Regions from separate parts of the Mus musculus genome. Here regions 1 and 3 are each reported to be linked to region 2. The links are microRNA targets in miRTarBase. Many come from high-throughput screens and were not tested one by one. Region 2 holds a microRNA gene; each other region holds the end of a gene's coding sequence.

What was found. The annotated mature microRNA mmu-miR-3106-5p reads UGGCUCAUUUAGAAGCAGCCA and lies in region 2 at 1,426-1,446, opposite strand. An mRNA with a match to its seed (bases 2 to 7 or 8) in the 3' UTR can be bound and repressed. Matches are read on the target gene's strand: a 7mer-m8 pairs with bases 2 to 8, a 7mer-A1 pairs with bases 2 to 7 and ends in A, and an 8mer does both.
Region 1: miRTarBase lists Gas2l3 as a target of mmu-miR-3106-5p. Seed matches in the 3' UTR shown: 7mer-A1 at 468-474 and 7mer-A1 at 398-404.
Region 3: the mRNA of Xpo7 is a reported target of mmu-miR-3106-5p. Seed matches in the 3' UTR shown: 7mer-A1 at 3,122-3,128 and 7mer-A1 at 2,902-2,908.

The regions. Positions count from the first base shown.
Region 1 is chr10:89,409,381-89,413,958 of GRCm38, forward strand. It overlaps Gas2l3 (growth arrest-specific 2 like 3), which reads right to left. Exons shown (of 11, transcript NM_001033331.2): 11 at 1-4,578. The coding sequence ends at 3,823. Among named protein-coding and RNA genes, the nearest start is that of Gas2l3, 32 kb to the right of the region's middle.
Region 2 is chr8:16,167,380-16,171,957 of GRCm38, forward strand. Mir3106 (microRNA 3106) reads right to left here and starts at 1,459; the gene lies at 1,378-1,459. All of the region lies in intron 23 of Csmd1 (CUB and Sushi multiple domains 1), which reads right to left.
Region 3 is chr14:70,662,213-70,666,790 of GRCm38, forward strand. Xpo7 (exportin 7) reads right to left here. Exons shown (of 28, transcript NM_001359888.1): 28 at 1-3,882. The coding sequence ends at 3,789. Among named protein-coding and RNA genes, the nearest start is that of Npm2, 11 kb to the left of the region's middle.

The sequences.
Region 1 (4,578 bases), not on the chromosome of region 2:
ACACAGAGATGGCATGAAACTTGGATGTAAGAATACATCAAAACCTTTATTAGCTCCTTTTAAGGAAGTAACAGATTTTTAAATTAGACAGAAATAAAAAAGACTGCAGAAGAAATTATTTTCTCCAAACTATTCCTTTATCCATTATGAAATCAAGCTGATGTGGTACCCGAAACCTGCAAACCCAGTACTCAGGAGACTGAGGCAGGAGGATTGCTATGAGCTCAAGGCCAGCCTGGGCTACCTAGAGAATGCCAGGCAAGCTGCATCTGCGTGATGAGACTTTGTGGAGATGACAGGCCAAGGGCACTAAAAGTCCATACATTGGGAAGGTGCTCTCTTCAAACACCTCCCCAGAAGCAGAGTGTAAAAAGAATCCCTTCATGGGCTGGTGAGATGGCTCAGTGGGTAAGAGCACCCGACTGCTCTTCCGAAGGTCCAGAGTTCAAATCCCAGCAACCACATGGTGGCTCACAACCATCCGTAACAAGATCTGACTCCCTCTTCTGGTGTGTCTGAAGACAGCTACAGTGTACTTACATAAAATAATAAATAAATCTTAAAAAAAAAAAAAAAAAAAAAATCCCTTCCCGTCCCTGTTCAGCTTTATATAATTACACATTAGCAAAGCATTCCAAAACAAAAACATTCTATTTTTAAGAAACCACACATGTGTCTTCCAGGTACATCAGCATTTTATGCTTAATATTTGGTTTATTAAATATTAAACACAAAAAGACCTTATGTAATTTCACACTAGTAGTAAAAAGAAGTGAGTACAACTGCATTATACTTGTTTTTTAAATTGTGGCAAAGATTTATCAGCTCCTTTAGAAAATACCAAAATACATCAGAAAGAATTTAACTTTTTTAATTTGGGAGGGAAAGATATTTACTAATTGATTGATTGCATGTATGAATGTTTTGCCTGTATGTGTGCAATATGAATGCCTGGTGCCTGTGTTCTGGAGGCCAGAAGCGAGCATCAGATACCCTGAAACAAGAGTTCTGGATGCTTGTGAGCCACCCCGGGAGTGCTGGAAATAGAACTCAGGTTCTCTGCAAGAATACCAAGTGTTCTGAGTTGCTGAGTGTTCTCTCAGTTCCCATGGAACTGAATTACTTATTCACATACAACCTATGCTTAGGAAAGACAAGGTACACACACAAAGAAATTCACCCTATATGACTACAGTTGGAGAAATGCTACTGAACAGCAGACAAAAACAAAAAACCCAATCTTTATCTTAAATAAATAATCCTAAAGTTAATTCGGGAATTTGTGCCAGGTGTCTGAGAATATCTTTATTCTTGATTACCCAGCACAAAAGATAATGTTTATAAAACTGTACAATGTACTGAGTCATAGGTTTAGTCTGCCTATAGTGTAATTTATATTTTTCTTTTAATTCTCAGAAGTTACTGATCTAGAAATAGTTTCGGCGGCCCTCTCTATGAGGGAATAGCCTCTCTAAAGCTACAATCCTTCCTCTCTGAAAGGTGTGTTAGATATTCCTGATTACAGAAATGCCCCTGGCATCTCTTTTGAGTGCTAAGAGGTGCTTTCAAAGATGTACATATTGCCATTAGTGATGCTCAGAACCGGAACGTTTGGCAAGTTTTTGGTGGTTTTCTGTTGTAAGGGATCCTGAGTAGATCTTTGATTTTATGCATACTGCTTGGGTAAAGATCCAGTGGTCTTTACCCAAGGTTCTCTTGCTGTATGTAGGTCTAGAGAATGCCAGCAGCCAGCCACGATGCTCACTCATTCAATGATGGCAGGTCTGGGTCAACTATTTTGTTTGTGTTAGAAACCGTATTTGAAGGGGCCGAGGAGGAAGCTCAGTCGCAATGCTTATCTATCAATGTAAGACACCATAGATCCTCAGTCTCACAAAGAAAAGAAAGGAAGAGGAGGAGGATGGAAAGCAGATTTTAAAGGGAGGGCATCTGAGTTATAAAAGAGGAGTCAAAGTGACAATTTTTTTTGAGGCGTGTCTCTAGTGCATAGCTGAACATGACCTTGAATTTCTGATCCTCCTGCCTCCACTTTCCAAGTAATGGAATTACAAGCGTGTACCTCTTAGACCTGCTTTTCCTTCCTACAACTTAGGATAACTGGTAATACCATAGTTACTTAACACCCTTAAAAGTTCCCAAAGTACATTAATAAACTTTAAATAGTGACAAGCCTGTACATAAATCATTTACAAGTATCCCTGTGGGTGGAAGGTGTTTATGCTGTCATGAAATCATTGGATATTCCTGACGAGAATCTGCCTACAGAACAGAAGGTACACTGTCTGCTGGGCACTGGAAAACTGAGCACAACATGGCCTTACTAATGAAGATGAACATAATCTGGAGACTAATTAAAATCGACAGTGTGCTAGCAAAAGAAATACAAGTCACCTGATGAGATGTGTGCATAGCATCACACAAAGGTTCTCTTAATACCATCTTAATCTTTTGTACGCGTCAATATATGTGGTGTGCATGCATGTATGTGAGTCTGTGTGTATATATGCATTCATAGGTGTGTGTGCGTGTGTGTGTGTGTGTGTGTGTGTGTGTGCATATGTGAACAGGATATATGTATGAGTCTGTACATAGAGAGAACAGACATTGACTTTGGGAATCTTCCTTTTTTACTAAGGTAGGGGTGGTCTCTCAAAAGAGCTGCCTCTCATCCATCGGCTCCTCTCGCCAGCCAGCTTGTCCCAGGAAATCCTGTCTCTTCCTCCTGAGTGCTGGGACTACAGGCAGACCATCAAGCCCACCCAGATTTGTATGTAGGTATGGGGACACAAACTCCAATCCCCATGCCTGTACTAGACATGACTTATCCATTGAGCCACCCCCCATCCCTTTTAATTTTAAGATCATTAAAACCTAATTCTGGTATCAAAACACATTATTTTAATGAAAAAATTTATATGTACATATAGGAAATGTCTATTTAAAATATCTTAGTATGCTAAAAGCTATTAAATGTTTCCCTGTCACACTGCACAGACTTCATCTAAAAATATAAGATACAAAGTGTCTAGATTATATATATATATATTTTTTTTTTTTAAAAAACTTAATTCTTACTAAATTTCAGCTTATGATTCAATAAGTTAACTTACTTGGTTGAGTTTTTTTTTCTTTTTATCAAAAATATTGGTTATAAAATGATACAGTATTAAAAAGCCAAGTTTAATTAAAAAACCAAATAGTCCCTTCTGATACGGAAATATTATAGAGATTTAAATAGTAAGAATTCCATTTAATCCAGAATAATATCAAAGTAAACAGCAGGAGCCATTGGTACTTAGGATTGCTGGACCAGGATTCCTGACCAATAAATTAGGTGCCTATTACAGCACATTTCAAAACCTTGCTGGCTTCTACTGTGTACCCCTGCCTCAGCCTTCGGAGCTGGGATTACAGGCACACACTAGCGCCAAGCAAACCATTGCTTTGTGGCTGAGCACAGTAACTAGTGTTTAAGAGTATCGGAGTTGCTATTAGCAGATAACCTCCACAGTTAACCTGTGTTCAAAAATATACCACCAATAGTTAAAATTCTAGTAGTGTTCTTGGACTTTTACACTTCCCTCAAACAGCAGACATCATTAGCAAGATGATACAGGTCAAAACTCACACATTTGTCCATTGATACACAAAATGCATGGGTCCTTTCCCTGACCCAGCTTCATCCCATCTTGACTTCATGTCTGCAGCTCTCCGGACAGACACAAATAGGAAGATCTTTGGTGATCCTTGTGGCTCGCCATTCATTGATCACCCTGATTTGCTGAAACGATACAAGTGTATTTATTTCCTAAGCTTCTTATTTCCGGTCATAACAAAATAATGGTCATCTTCTTCCTTCTTCCTGGCAGTGGGCATTTTATCTCCGCTGTCTGCCCCCTTACCAGATGAGGGTGGGTCCCTGAAGGAAGTTGGTGGCTTGCTGCTTTTGGGAGGCCCTTTAGCTGAGTACTGGCCCTTCATGGCAGTCTTGGCTGACTTCGAGACAGTTTCTGTCTTGGTAGCAGATTGGGGAACAGTCACAATAGACAGCGGGGTACGGCCAGGAGACTTTGAAGAGCCAGGTCCCGGATTCCGGCAGACACCCTTACTCTGAGGTTGCTTTTTGGCAACTGAAACTGTATTCTTACCTTTCGATCCCTGAGTAGCTTTTGCAGAGGACCCTGAGCACACAGAAGCTGGACTGTTTAAATTCAATGTAGACTGAAGTCTTTGTGCTGAGACTGCTCCTGACCTCGGCGTTCTAGTGGGTGGCTGAGACTGTGTCCCTAGACCTATGGCTCCGGTTTTAGAACTGGGCTTGGTCACTTTGGCAGGTGGCTGGAAAGGAGAAGGGTTAGGCCTTCCGTGCATGGCTCCTTTAGGTAGCTTTGGGGACTTGGATGATAAGTTTATACGTGACTCATCCCTAGAAGAAAGATGATTGTGTTTCAAATGCTTTGGTTCCATTTTTCCAGGAGATTTACTTGGTAAAAGTCTGGACTTAGACAGATCTCTTGAATTCTGGGCTGGAATAGCCTTGGTCTGTGCAGTCTTGGG
Region 2 (4,578 bases):
GCTCATTCATGCTTTGGAACTTCCTTGGTTGTTCTTGCTGGCCTTTCCCAATGATGTGTGCAAGCTGTTCATTTCTATCTTTTTAAATAAAGGGAAGGACATATGTGGCAAGAAGGGGCATAGAATATTTTTAGCATCCATGTTGACATTCCCAGAGTCCTTGAAAGTTTCAGGATGACATAGAAGCCACTTAGTTATGTGGCATGGTGCTAATGGCTTTCTACTGTTTCTGCTTAATATGTCCATATATTGTAGCTTTTTTTTTCACATTTAATTTTGATGATAAATTTGAAAGAAAAACCCAATACTCTGATATAAAAGTGAAATTTCAATATTATGCTTCAAAATCGATTTTAATTAAGATTTCTGACTGATGATGATACTTTTGATACTAAACACATCTAATAGTTCACTGGGATCACTCAAATTTCTTTTTATTGATGAAATGTATTTGTGAGCATAGTAACTTCTCTCATGTGTTTTGTGAGCACACGTGTTCATGTGTGTACAGACTCATGTGCATGTAGGAGCCAGACACAGATGTAAGGAGTCTTCCTTAATCACTCTTCACATTACTCTTTGAGACCCGTTCTCCCATTCACCCTATAGCCTACCATTTGGGCCAGACTGCCTTCCCACTGAGCCTGAGCCCCCACCTGTCTTTGCATCCTCACACTTCCCAATCACATATTGCCGTGGATGCTTTGAATGTGGGTTCTGGGAACTGAACTCGAGTCCTCATGCTTGCATGGTGAGCAATTTATAGATGGAGTTATCTCTCTAAGCCAACATATTTGTTATTTCTATATTATTGTTGGGTAGACTATAGTAACAGGTTTTAAAACTAAAGAGACAGGGAGGAAGAGAAACAGACATAGACAGAATGCACAGACATGATTGCTCTCATTATCTACCTGAGGATTCAGGTATATCATCTTTGTTTTACTCATTGGTTACTGAGACTATATTGCTTCAAATACATATAAAGTATATTGCCTATTTCTGATTTATATTGAAGAAGAACATTAGATGCTGAAGAGATAAAAAATATAAATACTTGTTCATTAAGAACTTGTGGTTGGTACTGGTTGAAAACCAACATGTAACAGTTATCATTTGGGAGAACATCATGTTAGTAGAACATCGAGTGCTCACTTGACACACACTGAACACATATTAACTTCACTGGGTAAAACATCATTTATTTCATTGCCTAGGCCCAGCCATGGCTTCCAGGGCTCAGCCCCACAAGAGGTGTCACAGATCCATCAGCGAGTGCCTAAGGAGACAGAGGGCATTCTTGTGTTGGTGGCTACCGGCAAAGGAGGTCACATGCCGAGTTGCATGGCTCCTTCCTTGAGGGTCCGTGGCAACAGGAGAGGAGCACAGGAAAGCCCATGTATAGGCAGCCACTCTCTGAGTGTATGGCTGCTTCTAAATGAGCCACCTGTGCTTCCCTGGGGACAAGGTACTGATGAGAAGCCACACAGGTGAGCCTGGGCGTGGCTCTTCCTTCCGTTTCCCAAATGCACATACAGACAATGCTCATGCTAACACTTTTACACAGGAATTCCCAGGAGAAGGACAGCTGTGACCTCAGCGAACAACATTCCACATTTCATAGCAGAAATACCAGTGTTCAGAATATAATACAGGACAATCTGATGGTTTACACACAGGTGATTTAGTAATTTAAAATGTAACTTCCCCCTTCAGGGGTCTGCTTTTCTTTTCTTTTTCTTTTTTTCAAATTTGTTTTTCTAGGACTAATATGTCAAAGTAGTATTCTTGTTTTCCACTCTGAAATTCCACAATTTATTAAAATGCCTAGATGGCTCTAAGCATCTGCTTGGCTGGCAGGAGAGTCTGTGTAACCGCGAAGTCTTCCCGGACAAAGATGAGCGAAAATTTATAAGATAAAAATAGTTTTATATAACTCTCTAATAAATATTCATTTCACAAAGTGAGACAGGAAGTAAAACTAGATTGAACATAGAATTGCAAGCCTGGAATGTCAGCACAAATGGAGCCAACCTGCAGGGGAAGGTAATGACAAAAGGCGACCCCATCAACGCAGCCCCGATGCCAAAATGCAGCACGCACAAATTCTGATGTGCCTTTAAGATTTAAAAGTCCCTTCAAACATATACTTTCAACAATGTTTCTAAGAGTCTTCAGCATTTTTTTGTGAAATTGAATTACATAATTATTTTTAAAGTTAGGAATAGCCTCAACATGAAATCATTTAAATGCAAATGCTGGAGAGACAATTAGGGAAACATTCAATTTTATATATATGAAGTATAGTTTTTTTAGCATTCAACTTTAATTCCCATTGTCTAAAACTCAGTACTGCATACCTTCATATTGATTTAATTTTCATGATAATATCCAAATTGGCACCTCTAAAAATACTTTTTATACACTCTGGGCAATATATTCTTTTCATCTACTATTGGCTTAGGAGCTTGTGGAGGTGGCTGGTCCTGACCCTGGCAACTTATTTAGGAACATGGTCCTTTATGTGACCCTCTCTTAGCAAGGACTTGCCTGGCCATGACAGAAGACATGGTCCGTGTCATGTGAGGCAGATTACAGTTACCTCCAACATAATCCGAGCAGAGGACTCTAAGGCAGATTGTTAGGACTAGGGTTGGTTCAATCAAGGAAAATGTTCAAAGCCTGGCAATCTCCAGGTTTCATGAGATAGTGTGAGACTGGGGGACTTCTAAAGAAATAAACTTCGTATTCACTTAGGAATTTTAACCTAATCCTGGGAAAGGGGAGGGCAGGTAGCTATGGCAGGGGAGGTGCAACCCCATTTGCCTCCCTGTACTAGCCTGGAGAAATAGCCTGCTACTTGGCCTTCCATGCAGCTCTTAAATGTCTCGGTGCTTGGGTAAGACGCACTTCGGGAGGTTAGACTGCAGCTCTCTTTACTTGCTTCAGTGAACTGGCGTTCTTTTTCGTCATTCAACATCATGCTAAAGACTTCTTTGGTTGAGAGTCATAAGATGACTGTGAGGTTTCCATTGCCCCAGGAACCTGTTCAACTTTGGACTGAGCAATGTAACCAGCACTCCTCATGTTAAATTTTCCCACCCTCTGGGTCTGGAGAGATGGCTCAGTGGTTAAGAGCACTGGATGCTCTTGCAGAGGTCCTGAATTCAATTCCCAGCAACCACAGGGTGGCTGTAATGGGATCTGATGCCCTCTTCTGGTATGTCAGAAGACAGGGACAGTGTACTCAAATACATAAAATAAATAAATAAATAAATCTTTAAAAAAAATGTTTCCCCACCCTAGCTGGCCCATGCCTGCTCCCCATATGCCTCTGAGAGCAGTTACTGGTACAGCTATTAGCAAAGGTTAGGATGTTTTTGATACACCCCTTTAAGGCATGTTTTCCTTGTCAGTCTATAAAAGGACTGTAAGCCATACACTCACAATCCAAGCACAGTGACTTCCTTCTTTCTCACTCTCTTCGTGGTCCCTGCCTGAATCCTGTCCCTCTCTCTTCTGCAGAACCTAGGCTGTAGGCCTAGTCGGTGATAACTTGGGGGGCAAGGTTTATATAACATCCTGTACATGAGGTGTACATGAGCATCTCCTCATGGGGGCAGTATTTAGCATTTGGATATTTAGCAGCACCAAACCAACCCTTACATTTCACTCTTCAAGGAATGGCTGATGGCTTAGTCCCTGGGAGTTCTTTTGGAGGAACCCTCTCATAGAAGCAGGGGGAGAGAGGATGTGATAGGGTGTTTCTGGGAGGGAGGGAAACTGAGAAATGGGATGACATTTGAAATGTAAATAAAGAAAGTATCCAAGAAAAAAGAAGAATGGCTGAATGCCAGCGAGCTGTCAGTCTGACTGTAACTCCTGAGTGCCAGGCTGCCCTCTCTCTGCTGCTTATGTCATGGATGGACAGCCACCTGTGCAGGAGCTGAAGCTCCATAGTGCACTAATGGGCTCGGTGCAGATCCTCAACATGAAGTAGAGATAAAGTTCACCACGCAAACTACCACCAGTGGAACAAAGTCATTGCATCGGATCTATTCATCAAAATCACCTCTCCTGTCCTGTGAGGTCAGCCATTGCAGGTTTTCCTGCAGGTTCTTGGAGTACGCAATCTCATGCTTCCCGAGTGCGTCCTCCTTGGCCACACCCCCATCCCATCCTCCCCTCCTTCCTATTGGCCTTCCTATAAACTGGAGCCAAGAACACAGTCTCCTCCTTTAACTTCCAGTGATGTGGTCATCTGAGAAATCCCCAGAAGCTGTTTGTCTGTCGCAGTCTGTCTTATAGGAACAGAGAGGGGTTTATTATTGTCCAAATCAGTTTGTGCTGATTATACTCTGTTTGAAGCTTGTTACACTGCCCCTGGCTATGGTTCAAGCACTAAGTATACTCTGAAATTTCTTATGAATCCTGCCACAAATGAAAAAACATCAGTGTTGTCCTTGCTTTTTATTCTTTTATTTCATTGTGTCTGTTATTCCAGGTAGGATATAACCTGAAAACATGGGCAGGATTGCTTTAATTTTAATCTATACAATCCTGACCCTTAATGTATAA
Region 3 (4,578 bases), not on the chromosome of region 2:
GGGTTCAGTGTAGCTTATTCCAGATATCACTGTGTAGATGAAACACTTGTGTCCAGGAACAGCACAGATAACCACAACATACACCTTTCCATGACATCTGAGAAAAGAGGAAGGTATAGGATTTCCGGCAACCTACAGATTGGAAAAAAATTCATCCCTAACCCCACATCTGATAGAGCGCTAATATCCAAAATATATAAAGAACTCAAGAAGCTAACCTCCAAAAAAAAACCAAACAACCCAATAGAAAAAAATGGGGTATACAACTAAACAGAGAATTCATAACAGAGGAATCTCAAATGACTGAGAAGCACTTGAATGTTCAGAGTCCTTACTGATCAGGGAAATACAAATCAAAATGACCCTGAGATACCACCTTATACCGACCAGATTAGCTAAGGTCAAAAACTAAGGTGACATCACATGTTGGCAAGAATGTAGAGAAAGAGGAGCACTCCTCCATTGCTGGTGGGATTGCAAAATGGTACAACCACTCTGGAAGTCAATCTGGAGGTTCCTCAGAAAATTGGAAATAGATCTACCTGAAGACCCAGCTATACTACTCTTGGGCATGTACTCGACCATGGTGGCCTTATTTGTGATAGCCAGAAGCTGGGAACAACCTAGATGTCCCACAACGGAAGAATGAATACAGATAATGTGGTTCATTTACACAATGGAATGCTATTCAGCTATCAAGGACGAAGACATCATGAGTTTTGCAGGCAAATGGATGGAACTAGAAAATATCACCAAGAGTGAGGCATCTCAGACCCAAAAGGACATGCATAACAGGAGTCTATATATAGCACAGCTGCCCTCTGAGATGCTCTACCAGCAGCTGACTGAGACAGAAGCAGATACTTACACCTGACCAATGGTCTGAAGAGCCCATGGGAGGGCCAGTAGTCTCAACAAACCTGGAACCCCTCCCCAGTGAGATCTGACATTGAGCCACTAACCAGGCAGCATACACTAGCTGGTCCAAGTCCCCTGACACATATACAGGAGAGGACTGCCTGGTCTGGTCTCAATGAGAGAAGATGCACCTAATACTTGAGGCCCCAGGGAATGGGAAGGCCTGGTGGAGTATAGGGGTGTGTGGGGACATCCTTTCAGAGGGGTGGGGGGAGGAATGGGATGAGGAATTGTGGGAGGGCAGAAAGGGAGGGAGATAATGACTGGACTATAAAAAAAATAACAAAATAAAAAGGTAAAAAGAAAAATAACTGAATTTCGTATTAGGTTAAATTTTATGAAATTAGTAATGTGTGTTTGGGGTGGGGTCCCATGTAGTCCAGAATGGCTTTGTTGTGTAGCCAAGGTATATATTGAACTAATCCTGTTTTCATTTCCCAAATCCTAAAAACCTTCCCTTCTCTCTCTCCCCATCCATGGTTTCTTTGTAGTCCTACCTGACCTCAAACTTCAATTTGCCAATCTTTGCTTCCCAATTGCTGGGGCTAAAGGCATGCACTACTATGTCAGGGCAAACCTTTGTCAGCGGAGTCTTACACAGCTTGGGGCCGTGGAAGATCTCAAGCTTAAGCACTGTGCCGTGACTGACCAAAGGTACTATCATCCCTAGTGTCTCTTCCGTAGGAGAGAGGGAAGGACACTGGGGTTTTGTTGACCAGCTGTTACTTCAAGGTTTTTCTAGTGTTTGTGAGACAGCTTCCTAGTCCCTTTGTCTTATTTACTTCAGAATTAGTATCCCAGGTTCTCCTGAGCATGTGCCAGGATGGTTTTTCTAGGACTCCTAAGAAGGAATTCAGGATTGGCTCTTGGGCCCTTGCAGGTAAGATACCCACAACTGCCCTATATTGTTCCTGCTTTTCAATGGTCTTAGCCATGGGCTCCCTCGTAATCAAAGCACTGTGCAGTACAGGGCCATAAATCACAGAAACTAGTCTTCATTATTTGCTTCATTTGGCCTATACATTCTATTCCAGGGGAAAACATTTGCCACTGACCTTGTCAAGGCCTAATAAATGAAGCCCAGCCTGTATCAGAGAGGCAGGTGTAAGGACTAACCCAATGGGCCTTTCTTCAGCTACTGCTTATATGTAGGTCGCCACTTTATTACCTGGAAAGAGGTAGACTGTCTTCATTTTGACAACTCTGGAGAACATTATGCTATAAGTATGTGAGCTGAACCAGTCAGAAGAGCTGAGGCAGACACAGTCTGCGTTAGTTTTACAAGACACAGGGACTTCTGCACCTACTGGCTTAAAAAAAAAAAAAGCATGTTTGTCTAAATATCTCCATGTGTTGACAGTGAGACACATCCCTGAACACACTACACGTGACTGCTGAAACCAGGTCAGTAGAAACCATCGAAGTTTATTGGCGGTCACAATGCTTACACTGTATGCAGCAAACACCCTTACAAGTCTATCCGCAACCTGATCACGCAAGAAAAGATTCACCACACAGTCGCCAGAGGAGAAGGAAAATTAATAAGCTTGTTTGTGAGGATTGAGGAAAATAAAAATAAAACCTAATTGGTAATGTCCCATGGGTAAGAGCTGTACTAGAGATGTATATAACTAGCAGCAGTTGTGGGAAAGTACAAGGCAAAGAGTTTTCTCCATCCAATGTTCCTCTGTAGGTTCACTTTTCTTTTTTAATATTCAAAACATTTATTATGGTTTTTATTTTATAAAAATGTATATTTTTCAAGGGAGAATGTTAAATACTTCATGCTAGGTAGACCTTGTTATTGAGAGCCCTCCCCTGTAGTAACTTCCTCCAGTTCATACATTCATGAGTGCAGGGTACACACATAAATATCCACACACATCCACACACACTGCCTCAAAGGCTGGGGAAGACAAAAGTTATGGCCACACATATTAGGCCTCTGGTGGACTCATGCAAATTGCTCAACAAGAGAGCAAATGGCTCAATTCTCTGTCGTCTCCCTATAGAGACCAAGAATCCTAAAACATAAATCCGACTTTTAATAGCAAGAGGCATCTTTCTGAGGATGAGGGTTAAGTAAAATGGGAGAAAGGATGGAGATAAGAACACCAGAGACTTTAGCTGGAGTTATCTGTCACTGCAGGAGGCTGGGGGGCCCAGGGCAGCATCCATGGATGGGGAGGGTGGTGCTCCCGCATGGCTCAGAGTTCCTAATAACAAGGTTAATACAGCATCAGGAACGCATCAGTGGGGGTGGGGAGGGAAAGGGCAGTAAGAAAAAATATACATTTGGAGTTTTTTCCTTTTTTGCCTCTCTACACTGTGTCACTAAATATATCTCTGCACTTTCACACATCCTTGTCCAATAAAGCTTCAGGCCACCACAATGCACATTTTCTTCACTCGCCATACATCACCCCTCACGTCAGCATTGGTGCACTAGACTCTGTAAAAAGTTTTCAGTCACACTTTTGTTTTTAAACTTGAGTCAATATAAACCTTGTTGAAAACGTTATGAAAAAATGTACATGTTTATACAAGGCAGGCTGCGGCAGGGCGCCGGGCTCTCCCTGCACGGTGACCCCAGGAGCGGCCGGAGGCTCAGATGCCTGTGCGTCTGTCTCCTCCCACCACCCCTTCCCACCCCAGTCCCCCAGGAACCAGCAGTGCCCTGTCCCTCAGTGAGTGCACGCACACCCCGTACTTCCCCGTACTTTCTGGGGAAATAGCTGGTTGACTTTTGCCATTTCCCCCATACCCCTGGAGGAAGGAGCCGGGATCAGCCAGGCTCTCTCCCTTGCAACTGTTCACCCTCTGGACCAGACCAAAGGGACGCTGCTCTGCAAGGTAGAGTCCGAGAGTTGTCAGCTCATCATGTCATTGCTATTCACTCCATAAGTGGAATTCTTCATTGAGTCGTTGACCTCTCGACGGAATGCTGACAGGTTCTGGGTGAACCTGCAGAAAGGATGCATGTGGGTTGGGGGAGGAGGTAGAAAGGAAAGGTCTTTTCCTAAGCAGAGAAATGGCTACTGGGAAGCAGAATACAGCAAATCGTGCCTCATCGGCTAACCGTAGTCTCAGAACTATTAGGGAAAGGTGGTCTTATTTACACCTCTACTTTTTCCTGGAAACTTCATGGCAGACCAGAGATGGTCAAACTTGAATCTGGGAGGGCCATCTTGGGCTTGTGGCAGCAACACAGATATATTAACTGCTTGACAAGAGATGGGAATTAACCTTAGAAAGTAAAGGCAGAAATGACATGAGGTTGTTACAGTCCTCAGAGTTGAAAGACTAAGGACGTAGAGCCGTGTTGTTCAATATGGAAGCTGCTAACTATAAACGGCTAGGGAGCACTTGCCTATGGCCAGTGAGAGCTGAATCAAATAATATTTAAATTCAGTTCTCCATTCACACTCAAATCACTTTTATTTTAAAACACTTTCACTAAAATTATACAATTCAGATAAACCAGATAGTTAATTTTTGATGTCTGGTACAACCAGGGTACAGAATCCTGTATCAACTCTAAGTTTATGAAATATAATTCAGGTTAGGTGTTTCTGACAAACACTTAGCATCTCAGTTTAGGTCATTAGGTGTAACACAGAAATGCTTCTGAAGACTTACCTTACATTCTCAATAATATAG